Linked DNA regions of Schizosaccharomyces pombe. The gene in region 3 interacts genetically with the main gene of each other region. Each region holds a gene or a part of one and is shown on either strand. Other genes may lie near its edges.

Evidence for each region.
Region 1: of rga7 (region 3) and pmk1, changing one suppresses a phenotype caused by changing the other (phenotypic suppression), as found in Schizosaccharomyces pombe (one study listed by BioGRID).
Region 2: mutations in rga7 (region 3) and art1 impair growth when combined (synthetic growth defect), as found in Schizosaccharomyces pombe (one study listed by BioGRID).
Region 4: mutations in rga7 (region 3) and myo2 are lethal when combined (synthetic lethality), as found in Schizosaccharomyces pombe (2 studies listed by BioGRID, with this or other methods).

Annotation. Positions count from the first base shown.
Region 1 is NC_003423.3:728,783-733,469, forward strand, and holds pmk1 (MAP kinase Pmk1), read left to right. Parts: upstream 1-2,033; 5' UTR 2,034-2,077; coding exon 2,078-2,143; exon of another isoform or gene 2,144-2,243; coding exon 2,244-2,423; intron 2,424-2,696; coding exon 2,697-2,768; intron 2,769-2,850; coding exon 2,851-3,801; 3' UTR 3,802-4,170; downstream 4,171-4,687. Other genes in the region: serine/threonine protein kinase Vps15, read left to right, coding at 1-1,864. UniProt on the Schizosaccharomyces pombe protein: Regulates cell integrity and functions coordinately with the protein kinase C pathway (pck1 and pck2). Involved the regulation of wall architecture, cell shape, cytokinesis in exponential and stationary phase, and metabolism of ions.
Region 2 is NC_003423.3:2,363,303-2,367,557, reverse strand, and holds art1 (arrestin-related substrate adaptor for RhoGEF, Art1), read left to right. Parts: upstream 1-1,744; 5' UTR 1,745-1,827; coding exon 1,828-3,279; 3' UTR 3,280-3,743; downstream 3,744-4,255. Other genes in the region: SUMO deconjugating enzyme Ulp1, read right to left, coding at 1-441; PPR repeat-containing protein Ppr3, read left to right, coding at 4,218-4,255.
Region 3 is NC_003423.3:2,109,938-2,114,792, forward strand, and holds rga7 (Rho-type GTPase-activating protein Rga7), read right to left. Parts: upstream 3,139-4,855; 5' UTR 2,958-3,138; coding exon 870-2,957; 3' UTR 548-869; downstream 1-547. Other genes in the region: cms1 (U3-containing 90S preribosome complex subunit), read right to left, coding at 1-21, 78-420; mat1-Mi (M-specific transcription factor Mi), read right to left, coding at 4,282-4,410; mat1-Mc (M-specific transcription factor Mc), read left to right, coding at 4,545-4,855.
Region 4 is NC_003421.2:1,232,731-1,240,250, reverse strand, and holds myo2 (myosin II heavy chain myo2), read left to right. Parts: upstream 1-2,014; 5' UTR 2,015-2,220; coding exon 2,221-6,801; 3' UTR 6,802-7,020; downstream 7,021-7,520. Other genes in the region: RhoGEF for Rho1, Rgf3, read left to right, coding at 1-866; Smc5-6 complex non-SMC MAGE family subunit Nse3, read right to left, coding at 7,080-7,520. UniProt on the Schizosaccharomyces pombe protein: Required for cell division. It is a component of the cdc12 'spot', a structure thought to mark the site of septation. May work in conjunction with myo3.

The DNA.
Region 1 (4,687 bases), 1.4 Mb from region 3:
AGAATCGAAGGGGAAAAGCCTCGCACCGTTGATCTCTTCTAGGGTTTCAACGAATGATACAACTAATGTTGCCGGTATTCGAAGCCAAAGATCATTTACTACTCATATCGATTTGAAAAAGCTTACCACGAGGCAAAATGGCGCAAAAAAATCATCGTATACTGGAACTAATCCATGCGTCTTAAATTATTTAAATAAAATTTATGCAGAAGCAGCGGCTTCGACACTTAACGTTGGTGCTGCTGTTTCACCAAGCTGGGCTTCTAATATACCTTTGCGTCGTAGAACAAAGGTGTCTGCGAAGGCTGCGAATAAAATAGTTCAGACTCATGAATGGCATCCAGAAGGATCACGAGTTGCTCAGATATATTTAGGAAGCCTTCTTGATGGAGGTACGAAGAAAGTTTTGGTTAGTCCAGATTCATCTTTTTTCGTTACCTTGGGATCTGACGGTGTTGTAAGAGCATGGCAATTAGTTGAAAGTGTTCGTCATATTTCAACTATGAGATGTGAATGCCGATTAAGTTATGGGCATACGCGACGTAATGGCGAGAGGAATAGATTTTCTGTGGTCAATGGATGCTTTCTAGGTAATACATACGCTTTTGCTTCTGTTACTCAAGATGGCTCTGTGGAAGTTCACAGACTTGACGTTAACAATCAGCGGCATACTCTAATTTCGGCTGGTCGTATTCCCAATTTGGATTTCAGTGATTCTGTAACCTCCATGGAAGCTTCTACATTTCACGACGGGAGTATCCGTCTAGTCGTTGTTACAAAATGGTCACGCATCGTATACTTAGACGTGGGAATGATGAGGGTTTTGTCATCAGACCAATTACCATTACAGTGTGGGTCAGCTACTAGTGTAGTAGTTTCTGAGGGTTGTAATTGGGCTTTAATTGGGACTACCAAAGGATGGCTCTTACTTTGGGACCTCCGCTTTGGGACATTATCATGCTCTTGGCATATGCCAGCCAGGATTGATCAGATGCATCTTCTTTTAGATGTTACCAAAAAACGTAGCAACGTTAATGAGTATACTTCCGGAAATAACAATAGTCCCGTTACCAAGGTTCCAGGTAGCTCAAGTACAAGTTCAAGTAGTACTCAGCCAATTAACTCTACTATTCCCATCAATCCTTTAGAAAATCACGGAATGTTAAACTCGTTTGGAAGCACTACAGTCAGTATCAGTTTTAGCGTCCTTACCAACTTGGATAATAAAGAAGTTAATCTTGAAGATGCAGTTCCAGCGAGTCACAGATCCGCTTCAGGCATAGTAAATTTTGACGTTGAAAAAGGGAAAACCGAAGAGGTTTTCTTAGAAAACTGGAATTCTTCACTCACCAGTCCGATTCCGGTATCTGTTGGAATTGATGCTTTTAATGAAAAAAAAAAGTTTGATATAGATTCTGGCAATGACATGGGATTAAGAGATTTGAATACCAAATTCGACTCTCCTTGGCCTTGTATATCTAGTCCAATCTATAGGTACAGAGGTCCGTCTGCAGGTTCTGTCGAACGAGAGCCACTTTTTCTCATTGCCGCTTCTGGAAGCCCTCATGCGTTTATTTGGAATCCCCACAATGTCTCTGCTAGTTCGTCGGTGACCAACGACTCCGAGAGTTCAAAACTATCTTTAATACATAACAAACCTCCTATCTACCAAAAAGTCTCTGAACAACAGAATGTACGCCCAAAGTCTTCGGGAGTGTCAAGGCCTCTTCTATTCCTTCAACAGCAAAAGAATCTACCTAGCGAAAATCGTCTGCACCCCATCGTTGACATGGCCTTCTTGTACCAACCGTACGCTATAGTGCTTATTGTTGACGCTTTTGGTAGTCTTGAACTCTGGACCTAGTTTCTTTTAGTATTCCTCATATATTTATTAGATTTGTATGCATATTCTTTAATACCATAAATTCCATCTGATAGTCTTCAAATCTAACCGACTTGCATTCAAATAGTGAAATATAAGGCATCGTTAATCACTACAAGTGATGTACTGTAGTTTTTTCCACATCCCTTTTGCCAAACAGCTAAAAATTCAAGTTGCATGCTATAAGTCGCAAGGATGGACCGTCGACATCGTGTTTACCGTGTGTTTAACCAGGAGATGTATGTCGAGCCTAATTTTAAGGTATGAGATATTTGGGTAACTGCTGCATTTGCAAAACATTTTGTTTACTTGACAGAAAATCGCATCTGCTTGAACTTTTAGGAAAACTAACATAGTTTAGGTAGTGAAGGAGTTGGGTCAAGGCGCTTACGGCATTGTTTGTGCAGCAAGAAACGTGGCTAGCAAAGATCAAGAGGCTGTAGCCATAAAAAAAATTACGAATGTGTTTTCTAAATCCATTCTTACAAAAAGAGCTTTGAGAGAGATAAAACTGCTGATTCATTTTCGTAATCATCGTAACGTAAGTCTTTTATGCAAAAACGGCTTCCTGTGATTGATTACTCATCATCACCGGGATGTATTAACGAGGTGCATTTTGATGAAAATGCAAATTTTTATACAATGAAAAGTCTTCTATGAGAAATGAGTTCTAATCATCCTTGAAAAGTATTTCCTTTATAAATCTTGATATAATGTTTGGAATTCGGTTGATTAAAAAATTTGAACTGCTCATTGTCTTACATTTGCATAGTGATGTCTTTCCTATTTTTTATAAACTTTACTAACATGGTAGATTACTTGCATTTACGATCTCGACATTATAAATCCATACAATTTTAATGAAGTTTACATTTACGAAGAGTTGGTATGTTACGCGATGATCCACATATGGTGTCTGTTTTAGTCACGGAAATATTTGTATAATTACTTACTAACTATTATAATAGATGGAGGCCGATTTGAATGCTATTATTAAATCCGGTCAGCCATTAACGGATGCGCATTTTCAATCATTCATTTACCAGATACTTTGTGGTTTAAAGTATATTCATTCTGCCAACGTTATTCATCGTGACTTAAAGCCAGGTAATCTTTTAGTTAACGCTGATTGTGAGCTGAAAATTTGCGATTTTGGCCTCGCTCGCGGATGTTCTGAAAATCCAGAAGAAAATCCTGGTTTTATGACGGAGTATGTGGCAACGCGCTGGTACAGAGCTCCGGAAATTATGCTTTCGTTCAGCAGCTATCATAAAGGTATTGATGTTTGGAGTGTTGGTTGCATTTTGGCAGAGCTATTAGGTGGAACCCCTTTGTTTAAGGGAAAAGATTTTGTTCATCAGTTAAATTTAATTTTGCATCAACTTGGCACACCTGATGAGGAAACCCTGTCTCATATAAGCAGTTCCCGTGCACAGGAGTATGTTCGAAGCTTGCCAAAGCAAAGACCTATTCCTTTTGAAACCAATTTTCCTAAAGCCAATCCTTTGGCTCTTGACCTGCTTGCTAAGCTCTTGGCTTTCGACCCCAACAGACGTATTTCGGTTGACGATGCTTTAGAACATCCCTATTTAGCTGTTTGGCATGATCCCTCTGACGAACCTGTGTGTGATTCCGTCTTTGATTTCAGCTTTGAATACATTGAGGATGCAAATGAGTTACGCCGTGTCATTTTAGATGAAGTTTTAAACTTCCGTCAGAAAGTCCGACGCCGCTCTCATCCAACAAACCCAACAGTCAACATCCCGCAACCAGCCCAAACCGTTCCATCTAATGACAATGGTTCTTTCAATGTTAGTAGCTCTTCATCCTCTCAAACCTCTAACAAAAAGCGCCATGATCATTCTTATAATGAAACTGCTGCTATAGACCATAAGTCTGATGATAATCGCCATAACTAATACATTGGCAGCAGCTGGTTTTATTGAGCCTTTTTACGGTAACATTTGCATACAAATCATTCATTGCGTTTTCTCATTTTTACATAAATTAGCTATTGCTATCTTTTGAGCTTTGCTGGCTACTGTCGAATCTCTGTTTGCTCGTTTAATTTCCATAAAAAATACTCATTTGCATTAGTCCTTCATTTACTGTTTTGCATATAATATTTGGCGATCTTTGTGCTCCCTTTTCTTGCACGCTTTATAGTCTCACAGCTTGAAACATTTTGTTATACATACATGCATGCATATACACCCGTACTACAACTAGAAAAATATATAAATAGAACAGCTAATTACTTAAAAATATTACTTTTACTAGTGAACGAGTATATCTGTGGTAGAGTAATTTCCTTTATTAGGGAACATCCCAATGAAATCACAAAACTAACTAACCAAGACAAAATAGATGAATAAATACATCAGTCATGAATTTGTATCCTGCAACAATTAAACAACATTCGTGCACAAGGATAGCTCTCTTCAAGTAGAAGCGTCTTATAATGAAATGCAAAGCGGTCGAATATGAAATTATGTGCATATTTTTATAAATCAGAAAAAATATGTAAGATGATATTCGAGACGCGAATGAAGTTTTACAATAGAAAGGGAAAGCCTTTACAAATACCTGCAAAAAAGGTCGTACAGATTCCGTTGTTTTTTGGGAAAGCAAATCATGATGCGCAAATCCTATATAAAAGGAACAGTTTTTTTTAGGAGAAAATTTTGGCAATTGCCGCTATGGCATCCATTACTAGCAATGAAATAAAGCAGAAGGCGGGCGACCTTGATTCCAGTAAAGGCTAACGGGAAAAATAAAAGGGAAAAACGACGTCACAAATAAGTG
Region 2 (4,255 bases), 250 kb from region 3:
GTCAGAGGCAGGGGAAAATAGATTTTGAAGAGCAATGGGATCCAAAAATTTTTCATCCTTACTAGAATTTGTATATGAATGAGAAACGGTAGGTTTACTATTTCTGTCAAGAGTATTGTGAGAAGACATATCAGATTCGACCGTCACGTAACCACGTTCAGTCTTGGAATTTATGTGAGAAAACCGAGATTCAGGGGCTTTAGTAGAAGGCTCTAGTTTTGAATTTGTACTATTACTATTAGATGGTATCGCCTCGCCAGCGATGCGATCCAATTCAGAAATGGGAGTTTTTGTCAAAAAAAGTTTTGCATAAGTAACTGTACGAGAACAAATATTAACAAACGTGTTCAAAAATGTCTTTTTACGTTTCCTTTGATACTCTTCATATGTAATACAATCATCCTGACGCGTCCTTTTTGACGCATTGCGTTTTCCTATCATTCACGAGTGAATTGTAAAGGGTGAATCGCGAGAGGCTGTGACACACAACAACCTGGAAGGATGAGCGCGTTCTTGCTTACGTTGTGAAAATACCTCGTTATACGAGTATTGCGGTATTTACTGTAAACAAACTACTTTTTGTGTTTATATTACAATGTTTGGCTTTCGAGCCGCTAGCTTTGCTTGTAAGATTTTAAATTATGTTGCTTAACATGTAAGTGTCCGTTTATCTTTAGGGCCTACTGTGTTTGATTTCATTACACTAAAATCCTACTTCAATGTGGGCTATCACTACTTTTAGCCGTGAGAAGCTTACAAGTATATTAATGTAAATTAAATATCATATTGCTTTTATAAAATATACATTCATGACAGTACACTGTGTTACTCTTTTAAGCGTTTAATAAGTAAGTGGTAGCGTATCGCTACTAGTAAATTGTTTTAAGTTCTGATATATGCCCTGAAAATGAAAAGATAAATCGGAAAATGTGAGTTAGTTTTATACAAACCATTTAACACTTCCTGAAGGGATCTTTGAATGAACAGAAAGCCCTATATTCAGGTTATCCTTCAAACAATCATTATTTCCTAGATAGAAAAGAGTCGTACATCAGCAATGAATTTCCTCAATTATCGCCGGGGTTTTTTATCATACTACGGCTCATATAACTATCAAAAATTAGCATTACCAGTTGCTCTTGATTCTTGTTTTTCTCGATTTTGAATTTTTTGTTATGCATTGTCTGTTAACTATGCGTGAAATATCTGTTCTTTTAGAGATTCGTTTGATTTTTAGTAAAATAGTATTTACTTGCTTTATTTCCCTTTCTTCTGCTGCTCAATAATCTGATATCTTGCTATATTGTTTTCGTTTGAATTCAGTCTCTCTTCTATATTTCGTATATGTATGTTGCGATCAATCGTGTGTTATGGTTTCAAAAATTCAAAAATTCAAAAAAAAAGCCTTCTGCTGTAAGAATAAACATATTTTAGGCTTTCGTAAGTGAATTTTAAGTTGAAAATACCAATTTCAAAATTAGGCTATTAAAGTCATTTTAGTTTTTACTATTGTAATCAAAATGGAACTTTTTTACAACAGATACTAGCTTTAGATGCTTGGCTATCAATTGTAGGCTTTTGATTTTAATTCTATGGAATGGAAACAAAAGTACATTTTTTGGCCTAAAATTAGATTTTTATATAATAAAATATTATTAATTTCATTGCTATAAAAAGTCACTTAGCAGTGTTTAAGCGAGTGCTTAAAAGATTTTATTTAGCTATCTAGATCTGACATTGCTGCACTGAACCAACCTGTCTACCATTTGGTAGATTCAACTTCCCATAACCAGCACCAAGCCAGAGGAACTCACTAAATGTAAGAGCATGACATCCCCGTGTACGCTAATACGGCAATTTTCTCCTTTGGAGATACGTCCGTTACCACATTTGGATTTCCAAGCTGGATTTAATGGGATACCAACTTCAGCTCCAAGGTTGGTTGGTATCGTCCAAGTTCGAAGTAAAGAAATTCACCAACCTTTGGCTTTGGTTCAAATAACGTTAGAATTATGGAAAATTGAATCAGTGGTAATACCATCCTTGGGTATAAGTAATCACTTATCAGATAATAAGTGTCTGGCAAGGCAGGTTTTGTTTCCACTTCATTCCGAGCATCCTGAAAATAACATACCTCCTAATGATAATAATTATTCTATCAGCGATTTGTCTATCAAATCACCTCCACCCTCCCTTACTAGCGATTGGATAGTAGATTCTTATGCGTCTGATCAGGATAATCCTTCTGTTCATACTCATAACCGTACTACTCCACCTATCCCTCCACCTCATCTTCCTAATGCCTCTGGATCTTCGGTATATCAACCTCCTTACACTCCGTTTAGATCAGTATCCACCACATCTTCCTCTAATGACACATCTATCACTCCTTTTGGTGACCAAACTCCTATACTCTCTTCTTCTTCAGATCCTTACGCTACTCATAGGGTATGGTCAATGGACCTTCCCTTTGAAATCCCGTTTCCCGAAAATTCAGAAATTCCATCGACTTTTGAATTGAATCGGTCTGGTACAATATGCTCCACGAAATATGAACTACGTGCTCACATGAGTTTACTAGGGGTACCGGATATTACTACCACTGTACCAGTGTCACTCAGCAGGTATGATAATCTATCTTCTTGGGGGATGTATAATTCCCCTACTAATATTCGGCAAGTGAGTAGCGATGGTCGTGTTGTAGTAGAGGTATCAATACCCAAACTGTGTATTGGACCTTCGGATCTCGTCTCCGTCTTCGTTTCCATCATGCCTAATAATGGTTCTAAAATACGAGTACAGCAACTTTCTCTTTCCTTGGTTGAATACATCACGTTCATACATCCCTCTTCTTCAAGCCCAATAGTTCGTAAAAAGAAAGTATTACGTTACGAAGAAGATTTGGATGATATGAAACTTACATCGGAAGGTTTATCGAAAAGCCTTTCTAAACCTTTCCCCGACATTGATTTTGAAGATGCAAATATCACTGGATTCACGACCACCTCTGATCTTTACTCTGTACAATACATGCTAGTCATCAAAGTACAATTATATCGTGCTAGAAACATTGAAATAACAAACCCAATTATTGTTTCCCCAGTGGAACGATCACGAAGTCAAGCCTTACTTAATGAAATTCAAACCCGAGTCCTTGACGTTCGCCAAAGCCACGGAGGCGTTGTCCTCGAAGAAAACGTTAGGATTGTGCGAGCTTCAGATTTTTCCAAAAATAATATGTTTGCTTATTTGAATGATGACATTGTCCTGTTATCTTAGGAAGTTACATTTTTCAAGCTCAATCTGTGCTTTACTACAAATGTAAATCCCGATATTGTTGATCATAAGCCTTACCTCTGTATTTCCCTGTGTTTTTCGATATTTGCAAGCCTTTGGTTTGCAATTAAATACCCACTTTGTTTATTTATTTGTCCCTCGTTTTTTTGTTTGGTTTCAAAAGCTATGAGTAAAAATAATGGTCTTCTTGTTTTTGTTTTGTTTTAAAAAGTATTCCTGTTCTTCGACATCAAATCAATTTCTATTGAATATGTCTTCATTGTTTTATTTATTCACTAGATTTAGCAAGTGGGACTTTTGGTCACTATTTGGTTGCTTTTTTGTACAACTGACTATTTATTTTAAATTGTGTCAACAGTTTAAATCTCACTTTATTCAGAGTAGGTTTTAGTTTAATAAAAACAGCTTTAAACCTGCTTATATAATGTACTACTTTCCTTTTTTATGTGGTTTGAATATCACATCGGCTGCACTTATGTCGGCGTTTCCACTTTCATGTATGTGGCTTTGAAAGTAAAGATGTAGTAAGCATTTAAATCTGAGTAAGGCTTAATATATATAACGATTGCATTTTGTTATCTAATAGCCCAGTATACGGTTACACTCTTAAATCAGTTACAATTTTATTAGATATTAAGCTCATTGTGAGTAAAATTTTTCCACACCTCTTCCTTAAGTTTGTATAATCCATTCTTATAGTAGTATAACCAGAAGTAAAAGTTTAAAATATTAGCAATTAAATTTCTTTTGAGGAATGAAAATACGAGATCATTATCAAAGCGTTTAATACCCACTTAACTTTCCATCCACAAAATATACGTTTCAATCCAGGTATTAATATCTATATATTATTGACTACTTTATCAGGAAAAAAGATCAAACATCTTTAATTTTTGAGATTTCAGAAGCTACTGTACCTTATGCTAAACAAATGTTCTGGCTCTTTAACACTTTTAGC
Region 3 (4,855 bases):
TCGTATCTTCAATGTAAGATGCTTATAGTGAGTTAGTAAAGTGAAGTAAAAAAAAAAAGAATAATAAGCAATTATACCTTTAATCACTTTATCTGACAATTCTACATCGGTAAGATCACTATAAATGCTTTTTATGTAATTATTTAACAAATCGGACAGCGTGTCTGGACTCTGGATGATTGAAGCGTTTGTGTCTTGTAGTTCTAACAATTTAGCTCTTTTCCTTTCCTTTTGTTTTTGGCGTTGTTTTTTTCTTTTTTCACGTTTCGCTGAATCGTTGTTTTGAGAAGCAGTAAAATTTTCAGTTATTGTAGTAGGTTGTGCAGATTCTTCATCCGAAACTGAAATTTCTGAAACTAAATCTACCTGATAATCAAGTTGATCATCCAAAGCATCAGCGTCTGTTGTCGTGTAGCTCATAATTGCATGTTTTAAAATTTTGGTGTTAGGGATACGTTCAGTTCGTGGACCGTCGAATAGTACAGGAAAAATGTAAAAAAAAATATAAATCTATCGTTTACAAAAATATAGAGTATTTGAAGGTCTATATAGAAGAAAAAAAAATAAAAGGAATTCATTTGGTTTATAAAATCGTAGATAATTTCCATTATTACGTTATGAAGGTTGTCTAAACTATGGATTAAAATTGTGAACGGAATTGACAGTAAAGAAAAGAATGAATTTGTAGACAAACAAAAGTTTAGGATAAAAACAAGGTAAGGAAAGGGATAAAAAGGGGAAAGAGGTGGAAGCATACAAAATCCAAGAAAGAGAGAATAGTGTCAAGTGTGCTTTATTGACGCAAAGGAAAAAAATATAAAAAGAGAAAAAAAAGATGGTAAGCAGTAAATAATACAGAAAATGATCTTTTAATCGTAGTCAAAAATTGTGAAACAATAGTCGATAAGAATTTCGATAGTTCTAGAGAAACTGCTAATTTCTGGGATAGTAGCTTGCTTAATGATAGTAGGTCCCCAAATAATGGCCAAATTGTTTGTCGACATTTTGTTTACATCGCTGTTTTCTTTAATTTTAGCAAGATGTATGGTTAAATGACGAATGGTAGAGTAGTTGGCATCGGGAAGATCGTTGATCGCACGATGGACGGCATCTCTTCTTCTGGATTCGTCTTCAACGTTACCTGCGTCGATAAAGTCTCTTTGATGATTGTCGGGAATTAACGGTTCACGTAGTTCACGGAAAAAGATTTTTAGTAGATCAGCGACTGCATGAACGTCGTTTTCATAGTCCTCAGGTGTATGTAATTGTAAGAGAGGATTATTCTCAAATTGAGAACGTAACATGTTGACACGGGCGGAAGAGCTGGGAACACGGTAGATGCCCTGGAGGTTGAGACCAAAATTTTCGACTTGGGAAGTGCATTGCATTACGATGTTTGGAATGTTGGAATGTTCTCGTAGAATGATTGCGTCTAATCGAGCACCAAAGAGTAACGATTTCGTAGGAGAGGAAGGTTGAGGGGAGACAGAAGTTGGTCGGAAGGGAGATGCAGCACGGTTTGAGTTGATGCTAGAAGGCGGTGGTGCGACTTCTCGAGACGTTTGAATCGTTGTCGTCTGGATGGGAGGTAAAGTAGGAAGTAGTACGGGAGGTGATTGTTGGGCAACAGGGGGCTTGTTTTCTGCATTAGAAGCGAGTGGAGAAGAGGTACGAGGATTGGAAGAAGAGGATGAAGAAGAACCGTTTGTGTCATTGGCGGTACTAGGTTTTAGGGTAGAAGCCAAAGGAGAGGCTGAAGCGGGAGCAGTAGAGGGATTGGAAGTAGATGAGTTTGGGAAGGCAGGGGAAGCCACAGAAGGGTTGGGAAAAGTGGATGGAGCAGGATTAGTGTTTTGTAGGGGAGAGGGAATAGCAGCAGTAACCTTGATGGTGGGGTTGACGGGTGGATTGGTTTTTCCGGCAGAGGAACCAGTTCCGTAAGAGCTTGGAGGTTGAATGATTTTTGTTTTAGAAGCGTCGGTTGGATTTTTGTTATCTTCATGCTTGATGGAGGCGTGAAGGACGTATTGAACAAAATCGGTATTTGCATTTATATTATCCAAAGCATGTTGTAAACCACAGTTGGTAGGAGTGGGCTTTTGTGGACGGATTGTGAGACCGTTGAGCAGGGTGTTTGACTCGCAGAGCTTTGTGTACCGTAGATAGTTTGCAATGAGTGAGCTTTCAATTTCGCGTTGAAGGGAAAAGAATTGCTTTATGTAGTTTGGTCGGTGAATACACAAAAGTTGTTTTTGAACGTTTTGAGCGTTTTCAATCTTACTGTGCATATCTGATTCTGCATTTTCGGCCTTAAGGCGAGCTTCATCTTCGAGTTTGGTGAGCTGAGCATTAGATTTTGGTTTAAAAAAACCAACCTTCTTCTGGGAGTCTCCAGTGTTTTTGTTGTCGAGAGCGCGGTTGTACTCGGTTTCGGCACCCTTAAAGCGAGATTTGGATTTATCCATTTGCATAACGGCTTCTAAATATGCGTTTTCTTGTTTTTTCGCATATTCCTTGATGGATTTTCGTTTGCGTTCTGCGTTTTTGTGAAATTCGATGACTTGATCGGAAAATGCAGAAAGAGTTTTTTGAAGGGTTAAACTGTGATTGGCAAGTTGTTCATGAATTTCCATACTCGTAATGACAGAGGCGGAAAAAGATTGGGGAGAGTGGTGTTTGGATTGAAACGTCTCTAGGTAGGATTTAGCAAGTTTTTGTAAATTTTTTCCACTTTCTTCTTCGAGAATGGAACGCTTTTTAAAGAATCCGGCGAGTTCTTTGCAAGTGAGGAGGTAGTCTTTAATGCGATCATTTAGGATTGCTAGACCAAGTTCCGAATTGAGGATCGCTTCGACTTTTGGTTCTTTGAGAACTGCGAAATCATCAGAGGAAGTGGTATTTGGAGGCGATGTTGGTGGGGAAGCGGGAGTGGTAGAGGAGGAGGGAGCCGACAGCATTGAAGGAGTTGAGTGATGGGCGGGAGCAAGAGAAGTAAATAGAGTGAGAGAATAGAAAGAGTAAAAATAACAAAAGAAGCGCGGTAAACGCGAAAATATATAAAATCACTTGAGCAAGCAAAGAATGATAGAGGAAAGAAGGGTGAATTCTTTGTTTGTAAGGAATTGGTAGTGGGTGGTTGGTTTGAGTAGTATAGCGAGTATAGAGGATGTAAACGAGGAAAGGGTAAGGAGAGGACGGTAGAGGAAGAGATAAAGAGGATTAAGGAGGTATGAGTAGTTCAAATTACGGAGATGTAACGAAGCTAAAAGTTTGGAATTGGGAGGTTGAGTGTGGGGGATGAAAATGAGTTTAAGATAGGAAGGTAAAGGAAAAGAATAAAATACAAATTGCGTTGTATAACGTTTCTGCCATACCCTTTTTAAGTGGGATGAAGTATAGTGAGGGAGGGTTGAAAAGGAAGGAAGAGTTGACTGTGGTATTCGAGGTAAGTGTCATACCCTTTCCAAGTGGGAGGTAGAGATACGTGGGGGTAAAGACTGAGGTGAGTAGGAAGGCGGTAAGGGGAAGAAGGGTATAAGGAGAAAGAGTTGATTGTGTTATTTAAGGAAAAGTGTCATACCCTTTCTAAGTGGGGGATAGCAAAATAAGGAGACAGAAAGTTGGTTGCGTTATTCGAGTAAAATGCCATACCCTTTCCAAATGGGGGAGAGGATTAGGTGAATGAAAAGAACAAATAAGTAGGATTATTCTATTGCAAGTTGTTTGTAATACTTTTTTTGTCATGAACGAATATGTAAAAACAATAATAAATCCTTAGAGCCTACTGTTAATATAATAACATTATGTTTATTCTATGACTACAGGTTTGTCAACATGTTTTATTGCGACTGTTTAATTTTTGTATTTGTTATACCGATATATTTTTAATCAGTATTATATTTTCTTAAATAACTTAATAACGAACTTGACAATGAAACGTTCCTAATTCTCATTAGACGGGAATTCTTTAGGGGACCCCACATTAAGTGGGATGAGTGCTTGCTTTGTTGTAGTAGCTATGGTAACTATTTCTTTGTTTGGGTAGGAACAAAGAAAGAGAAAGGAGAGAAAATAGTGGGTTAGCCGTGAAAGGAAAAGAGAGTGAGAAGAAGGGTAGGAAAAGAAGAGAGAGTAGTTGAAGGAAAAATATTGGAAGAGGTAGTATTTTTCTGTATGCATATGCATATGCATTTGTATAGCATACAACCTTTAATTTAATAGCCATACAACCTAATAGCCAGAAACGCCTTCCCAATTTACTGAACCCTGCTTATATGTAGTTTATAATTGTTGTGTCTTTTTTTTACGTTTAAGTTGTAATTTGATGTTAGAATTTATTACAATGGATGCAAGTTTTAACTCAATTTGATCACATAGGATTTGAATTGTAAAAAGGTCTTCTGCTGACATTATTAGTATGTATTGTGCTTTAGATTAAATTATTGTGTTTTAGTGTATTTTGTTCCTTTGTTTTTGGGTTTCTTTGTTCTGTAAGTAGTTAAATACCCTCCACACTCTACACCTACCTTGCACTCACAACTACAATGGACTCACACCAAGAATTATCAGCGGGTTCCCCTATTTCCTACGACTTTTTAGATCCAGACTGGTGTTTTAAAAGATACCTTACAAAGGATGCTCTTCATTCAATTGAAACTGGCAAAGGTGCTGCTTACTTTGTTCCTGATGGCTTTACTCCTATACTCATTCCTAACTCACAAAGCTACCTGTTGGATGGGAATTCTGCACAACTGCCAAGACCTCAACCAATATCCTTCACATTGGATCAATGTAAAGTTCCCGGCTATATTTTGAAGAGTTTACGGAAAGACACTACGTCTACTGAACGTACTCC
Region 4 (7,520 bases), on a different chromosome or scaffold from region 3:
TTGATATCCTATTAGAGCTACGTGACAAAACCCTTTATGCTCATAAATTAAGTCGTATTATTGAAATGGGTCTGATCGAATCCAAAATTGCAGTTGTCATTGGAACTCCGCATGCCGTATCATTCTTTAAAATAGGTAAATTGTCTGAGGGGGCTTCTGTTAAACGTGAGCGAACTTTGGTTTTTTATAAAGAGGGACTCGGTAATACTACAACCATAATTTGCTGTGAACCAGTGATCGGCTTAGGACATAACTATCAGAAAACATATGCCTTCAAGAGAAAAGATGTTACTTCCTTCAGAACTCTGGATGATTTTCACGTAACGGCTAACTGTCATTCAATTGATTGCTTTAAGTATTCAATTGCTCTTTGTCACAATAAAGGCATTGACGTTCTGCGTTTGGACCCTAAATTAGCAGTTGGTTTTCCAAGCCCTTCAGTGCTTAATGATACGTTGTTTCGGAACCGAATCAACAACAGTAAGCCGCTTGGCGTCTTTCGCATCCACGATCCTAGCTTATTTGCATGCTGCTATCAATTCGGTGCCGTGTTTGTCAATGGAGAGGGTAGTATGGTTAATAAAGAGTGTTGGTTTGATTGGATTGGCAAACCGAACTCTGTTACCAGCTGTCATGGATATCTCATTGCATTTAATGATGAATTTGTCGAAATATGGAACACGCGAACTAGGAAACTTAATCAAATTATCCAAGGAAATGACATTAAATACTACCCTAGTAACAGTGATTGGCTAGCCAATGGGAAATATATAATGTTTGGCATGGTTCATCCTCAGTATCACGATCGCCATTTGATACTCGCTTTAAATAAGGCAAAAACAAACTCCTTCATAATTGAAGATTGATAATTATCATATTTATTACAAGTTTTCTTGCCATGATTGTCTTTTTTACTCATCCATACTTTTGAATATCGGAAACGTTTATCTTATTTTGTTTTACGGAACATCCTGCATCTTTCGAATCATATTTTATCGCAGCCTTGAAATTTTATTTCTTCTTTTTTTTTTTTTTTACATTTCCCTACCCATTTTATCACAAAGGAATATTAAAATCTGCATGCATTAACATTTTTTAATTACTTAAAATGATCGCTACTATCATTATGTTCAGTGTTAAGCCAAAATTGGCTTATTGTACAAGTTGCATAAACTTGCCGACTACAGTTGATGAAAACAGAGAACATTGTTGTTTTTTTACGTAACTGGTTATGGTATTCTGCATGTTTTGATCATAAGTTTAAAGATGTGGTTACACATTGAAGCACCATGCTTTCTTTCAAACACTAACTGAAGCAACTAACATTTCTGTATATTTACTTATTGATTATTACCAGGGCCATAGCTGTAGATGGTCAGTAAGCACATAATAATTACTGATTGCGATTATTAGCTAGAGCGTGTTCTTATAATTATTCAGTAAGAGGCATGATTAGAGTGCTATATATAAAATGTAGATAAATAAATGCCGAGTTTAGTTATTTGCTTTAAAAGTTGTGTTCGGTACGATGAGGAACATATTATTTGCGTATCTAGTCACAAATTACTCATATATCTGTAATAGCGGGAGTTTTTTATACAATCATTTTACCTAAAAGCACGGGGGAACATGAAATTTCGATTAAACCGTAACCCCTAATCCTACGTTCATTTGATGTTTTGAGTATTAGTACAATGTATTTTCAATTATTACTTAATATCTTCAATCTTGATGAAAGTAAAGCTTTAAAAATTTGTCAGGACTTTAATTGCAAAAGACCGAGTATATAATGACCTCCATCTATTAATATTATTTCTTTTAAAAGATATATATACCTTCTTAATTGTGATATTAAAATCATTATGTTATAGGAATGTTTCTGGATGCTACCTTAACCTATACTAAATGTTTTAACGCAAATATGATCAAGTACATAAACGTTCGATTAACGCATGCGTTAATCGAATGTTCAAGTGCTTAAATCATTAATTGCTGTGCGTTCAACGGGGAGTACAAAAAGTATCCAACAACATAGTTCTTTAACGTTTTCTCTGTGCATTTGTTGATCCTTCTTTTCGGATATATCTATTGCTATCTTTTTGGATTTTTTCACTCTTTGATTTTTGGTCTATCCTTATTGTTTTACAAGGTTTTGGTATTGTACACCGCATTGTTTATTTTCAGGAAAGGCGGTAAATAACCGTCTTAGAGAGTAGCCCGATGACAGAAGTAATATCTAATAAAATAACTGCAAAAGATGGTGCAACTAGTCTGAAGGATATTGATGATAAACGATGGGTTTGGATTTCCGACCCAGAGACTGCCTTTACCAAGGCTTGGATTAAAGAGGATCTGCCAGACAAGAAATATGTTGTTCGGTATAATAATTCCAGGGATGAGAAGATCGTTGGTGAGGATGAAATTGATCCGGTGAATCCTGCCAAGTTTGATAGAGTCAATGACATGGCTGAGTTGACATACTTAAACGAGCCTGCAGTCACATACAATCTTGAACAGAGATATCTCTCTGATCAAATTTATACCTATTCTGGGCTCTTTCTCGTTGCGGTCAATCCTTATTGTGGACTACCAATCTATACGAAGGACATCATTCAATTGTACAAAGATAAAACACAAGAGCGCAAGCTACCTCATGTCTTCGCAATCGCGGATTTAGCATACAATAACCTTTTAGAAAATAAGGAAAATCAATCGATTCTTGTAACTGGTGAGTCCGGCGCAGGTAAAACAGAGAATACCAAAAGAATCATCCAATATCTTGCAGCAATTGCTAGCTCGACTACCGTTGGCTCTAGTCAGGTTGAAGAGCAGATCATTAAAACGAATCCTGTGCTCGAATCATTTGGTAATGCTCGTACCGTACGCAACAACAATTCTTCTCGTTTTGGAAAATTCATTAAAGTTGAGTTTTCTTTGAGTGGGGAAATTTCGAATGCCGCCATAGAATGGTATCTTCTTGAAAAATCTCGCGTTGTTCATCAGAACGAGTTTGAAAGAAACTACCATGTTTTTTATCAGCTTTTAAGTGGTGCTGATACTGCTCTCAAGAACAAACTTCTTTTAACCGATAACTGTAATGATTATCGATATTTGAAGGATTCGGTTCACATTATTGATGGAGTTGACGATAAAGAAGAGTTTAAAACTCTTTTAGCTGCTTTTAAAACTCTTGGATTTGACGATAAAGAGAACTTTGATTTATTTAATATACTTTCCATTATTCTACATATGGGAAATATTGATGTCGGTGCTGATCGCTCTGGTATAGCTCGTCTTCTCAATCCTGATGAGATTGACAAGCTCTGTCATTTGCTTGGTGTGTCTCCGGAGTTATTTTCACAAAATCTTGTTCGACCTCGTATTAAAGCAGGCCATGAATGGGTTATCAGCGCTCGAAGTCAAACTCAAGTCATTTCGTCCATTGAAGCATTAGCAAAAGCCATATACGAAAGGAATTTTGGATGGCTGGTAAAGCGACTTAACACTTCCTTGAACCATTCCAATGCCCAAAGCTACTTTATTGGTATTTTAGATATCGCCGGTTTCGAAATCTTTGAGAAAAACAGTTTTGAACAACTTTGCATTAATTACACAAATGAAAAGTTGCAACAATTCTTTAACCATCACATGTTCGTATTGGAGCAAGAAGAATATATGAAAGAAGAAATTGTATGGGATTTCATTGATTTTGGACATGATTTACAGCCGACTATTGATTTAATCGAGAAAGCAAACCCAATAGGTATTCTTTCATGTTTGGATGAAGAATGTGTTATGCCGAAAGCAACTGATGCTACGTTTACTTCTAAACTTGATGCTCTTTGGAGGAACAAGTCGCTAAAATATAAACCTTTTAAGTTTGCCGATCAAGGTTTTATTTTGACTCATTATGCCGCTGATGTTCCTTACAGTACAGAAGGTTGGCTGGAGAAGAACACCGATCCTTTGAATGAAAACGTTGCTAAGTTGCTTGCGCAATCTACTAACAAGCATGTCGCTACACTATTTTCTGATTATCAGGAAACTGAGACTAAAACTGTTAGGGGAAGGACGAAAAAGGGCCTTTTTCGAACTGTTGCTCAAAGGCATAAAGAGCAGCTCAATCAGCTTATGAATCAATTTAACTCGACCCAACCTCACTTTATTCGTTGTATTGTTCCAAACGAAGAAAAGAAAATGCACACCTTTAATAGACCCCTCGTTTTAGGACAACTTCGATGTAATGGTGTTTTGGAAGGAATCAGAATCACAAGGGCTGGTTTTCCTAACCGTTTACCATTTAATGATTTTAGAGTCAGATATGAGATAATGGCGCATTTACCAACAGGTACCTATGTGGAATCTCGACGTGCTTCTGTCATGATTTTGGAGGAGTTGAAAATTGACGAAGCATCTTATCGAATTGGTGTTTCAAAAATATTTTTCAAAGCAGGTGTTTTAGCAGAATTAGAGGAGAGGCGCGTAGCGACTTTACAAAGACTGATGACTATGCTACAAACAAGGATCCGTGGCTTTCTTCAAAGAAAAATTTTTCAAAAGCGATTGAAGGACATACAAGCCATCAAATTACTACAAGCAAATTTGCAAGTGTACAATGAATTTAGAACTTTTCCTTGGGCTAAGTTATTTTTCAATCTAAGGCCCTTATTAAGTAGTACTCAAAATGATAAGCAGCTTAAAAAGCGAGATGCTGAAATCATAGAGCTGAAGTACGAGCTGAAAAAACAACAGAATTCAAAATCTGAGGTAGAGCGTGATCTCGTCGAGACCAACAATTCTTTAACTGCTGTTGAAAATTTGCTTACTACTGAACGTGCGATAGCCCTTGATAAGGAGGAAATATTACGTCGAACACAGGAAAGGCTTGCAAACATAGAAGATTCGTTTAGCGAAACAAAACAGCAAAATGAAAATTTGCAACGAGAGTCAGCGTCATTGAAACAGATTAATAACGAATTAGAAAGTGAGTTACTAGAAAAAACTTCCAAGGTTGAGACTTTGTTATCAGAACAGAACGAACTGAAAGAAAAACTGAGTTTGGAAGAGAAGGATTTGCTAGATACAAAGGGAGAACTTGAGTCTTTACGTGAGAACAATGCAACTGTTTTATCAGAAAAAGCAGAGTTCAATGAACAATGTAAAAGTTTACAGGAAACTATCGTTACCAAGGATGCTGAACTTGATAAACTCACTAAATATATTTCTGACTATAAAACTGAAATTCAAGAAATGAGACTGACAAATCAGAAGATGAATGAAAAGAGTATTCAGCAGGAAGGTTCTTTATCTGAGAGTCTCAAACGAGTCAAAAAATTAGAACGTGAAAATTCTACTCTTATAAGCGACGTCTCTATTTTAAAACAGCAGAAAGAAGAGTTAAGCGTCTTGAAAGGAGTGCAAGAGTTAACAATAAATAACTTAGAAGAGAAGGTTAATTATTTGGAAGCCGATGTCAAACAGCTTCCGAAATTGAAGAAAGAACTAGAATCCTTGAATGACAAAGATCAACTTTATCAGCTCCAGGCTACCAAAAATAAAGAACTGGAAGCCAAAGTTAAAGAATGTTTAAATAACATCAAATCGTTAACGAAAGAGCTTGAAAATAAGGAAGAGAAATGCCAAAATTTGTCAGATGCTTCTTTAAAGTACATTGAATTGCAAGAAATCCATGAGAATTTACTTCTTAAAGTTAGCGACTTGGAGAATTACAAGAAAAAATATGAAGGACTTCAGCTGGACTTGGAGGGGTTAAAAGACGTCGATACAAACTTTCAGGAACTTTCGAAAAAACATCGTGATTTGACCTTTAATCATGAAAGTCTTCTTCGGCAATCGGCGTCCTACAAGGAAAAGCTTTCGTTGGCGAGCTCCGAGAATAAAGATCTCTCTAATAAGGTATCGAGTTTGACGAAGCAAGTAAATGAACTTTCTCCAAAAGCATCTAAGGTTCCCGAACTTGAGAGGAAGATTACTAACTTAATGCACGAGTACAGTCAACTCGGTAAGACCTTTGAAGATGAAAAGCGTAAAGCATTGATAGCTAGTCGAGATAACGAAGAATTACGCTCTTTGAAATCAGAGTTGGAGAGTAAACGAAAGCTTGAAGTTGAGTATCAAAAGGTACTAGAAGAAGTAAAAACAACTAGAAGCCTCCGTTCGGAAGTCACCCTTTTAAGGAACAAAGTTGCTGATCATGAAAGTATACGTAGTAAGCTTTCAGAAGTAGAAATGAAGCTGGTTGATACTCGAAAGGAACTGAATTCTGCTCTTGATTCCTGCAAGAAGCGAGAGGCAGAGATACATCGCCTTAAAGAACATAGACCGTCCGGAAAGGAGAATAATATACCGGCTGTCAAAACTACGGAACCCGTTTTGAAAAATATTCCACAACGAAAGACAATTTTTGATTTACAGCAAAGAAATGCAAATCAAGCGTTATACGAGAACTTGAAACGAGACTACGACCGTCTTAATCTTGAGAAGCACAACTTAGAGAAGCAAGTTAATGAGTTAAAAGGGGCCGAAGTATCACCTCAACCTACTGGCCAATCTTTGCAACATGTCAACTTGGCTCATGCTATTGAATTGAAAGCTCTGAAGGATCAAATAAATAGCGAAAAGGCAAAAATGTTTTCCGTTCAAGTACAATATGAAAAACGTGAGCAGGAGTTACAAAAACGAATTGCTTCTTTGGAAAAAGTGAACAAAGATTCGTTAATAGATGTGAGAGCTTTACGAGATCGCATTGCAAGCCTTGAAGATGAGTTGCGCGCCGCATGAAGTTAAATGATTTTGTAATGATGAAACCTTTATTAATTATATTATATATACTGACATATACTTCTCTTATAAGTTTACGAGCTATTTTTTTATTTTTTTTATTTAACAGCTGTACATAATATTCCCGCTATATAACCAAATATACATCTTAAATTTATATCGAGATATTAGCACGCATATAGGAACTTAAATAATATTACGAATTTTTTTGTAGTAGCGGAGTAAGTATACAATAGCATTAACATGAGACGAGCATAATGTAAAAACCTAAGAGTCATCTATGCTGCACTTGAGGAAGATTGATTCTGATACTCCTGCCGATATTCGGTTAATAGAGCATCCATATCAATGTCTGAATCCGGAAAGAACTCTGTAACGAATGATTTCAAGCCTTCAATAGAAATTTCAGTTACTGCACGGGATCCAATATAATAAACAAACTGGTTATGGGTATCATCTTTCACTCTATCTAAATACCCTTGGCGAACTAAAAGAGATAACGAGCGAGTAATATCCAGATGCAAAGGGGTTGTTTCTTCCTCTGTTAGAAGTTCCTGCAAAAAAGATTGCAGTTCTGAATGTCCTACACTGCAATGAGAAACGGCTATGAATGCGATCACAGTCATCAAAAATCCATAATAAGCAGTATCCAATACCGAATCTACAATTAAGCGAGAATCCTTTTGAAGTTCCATAGGAAGGGTAGACCTCAACACCCA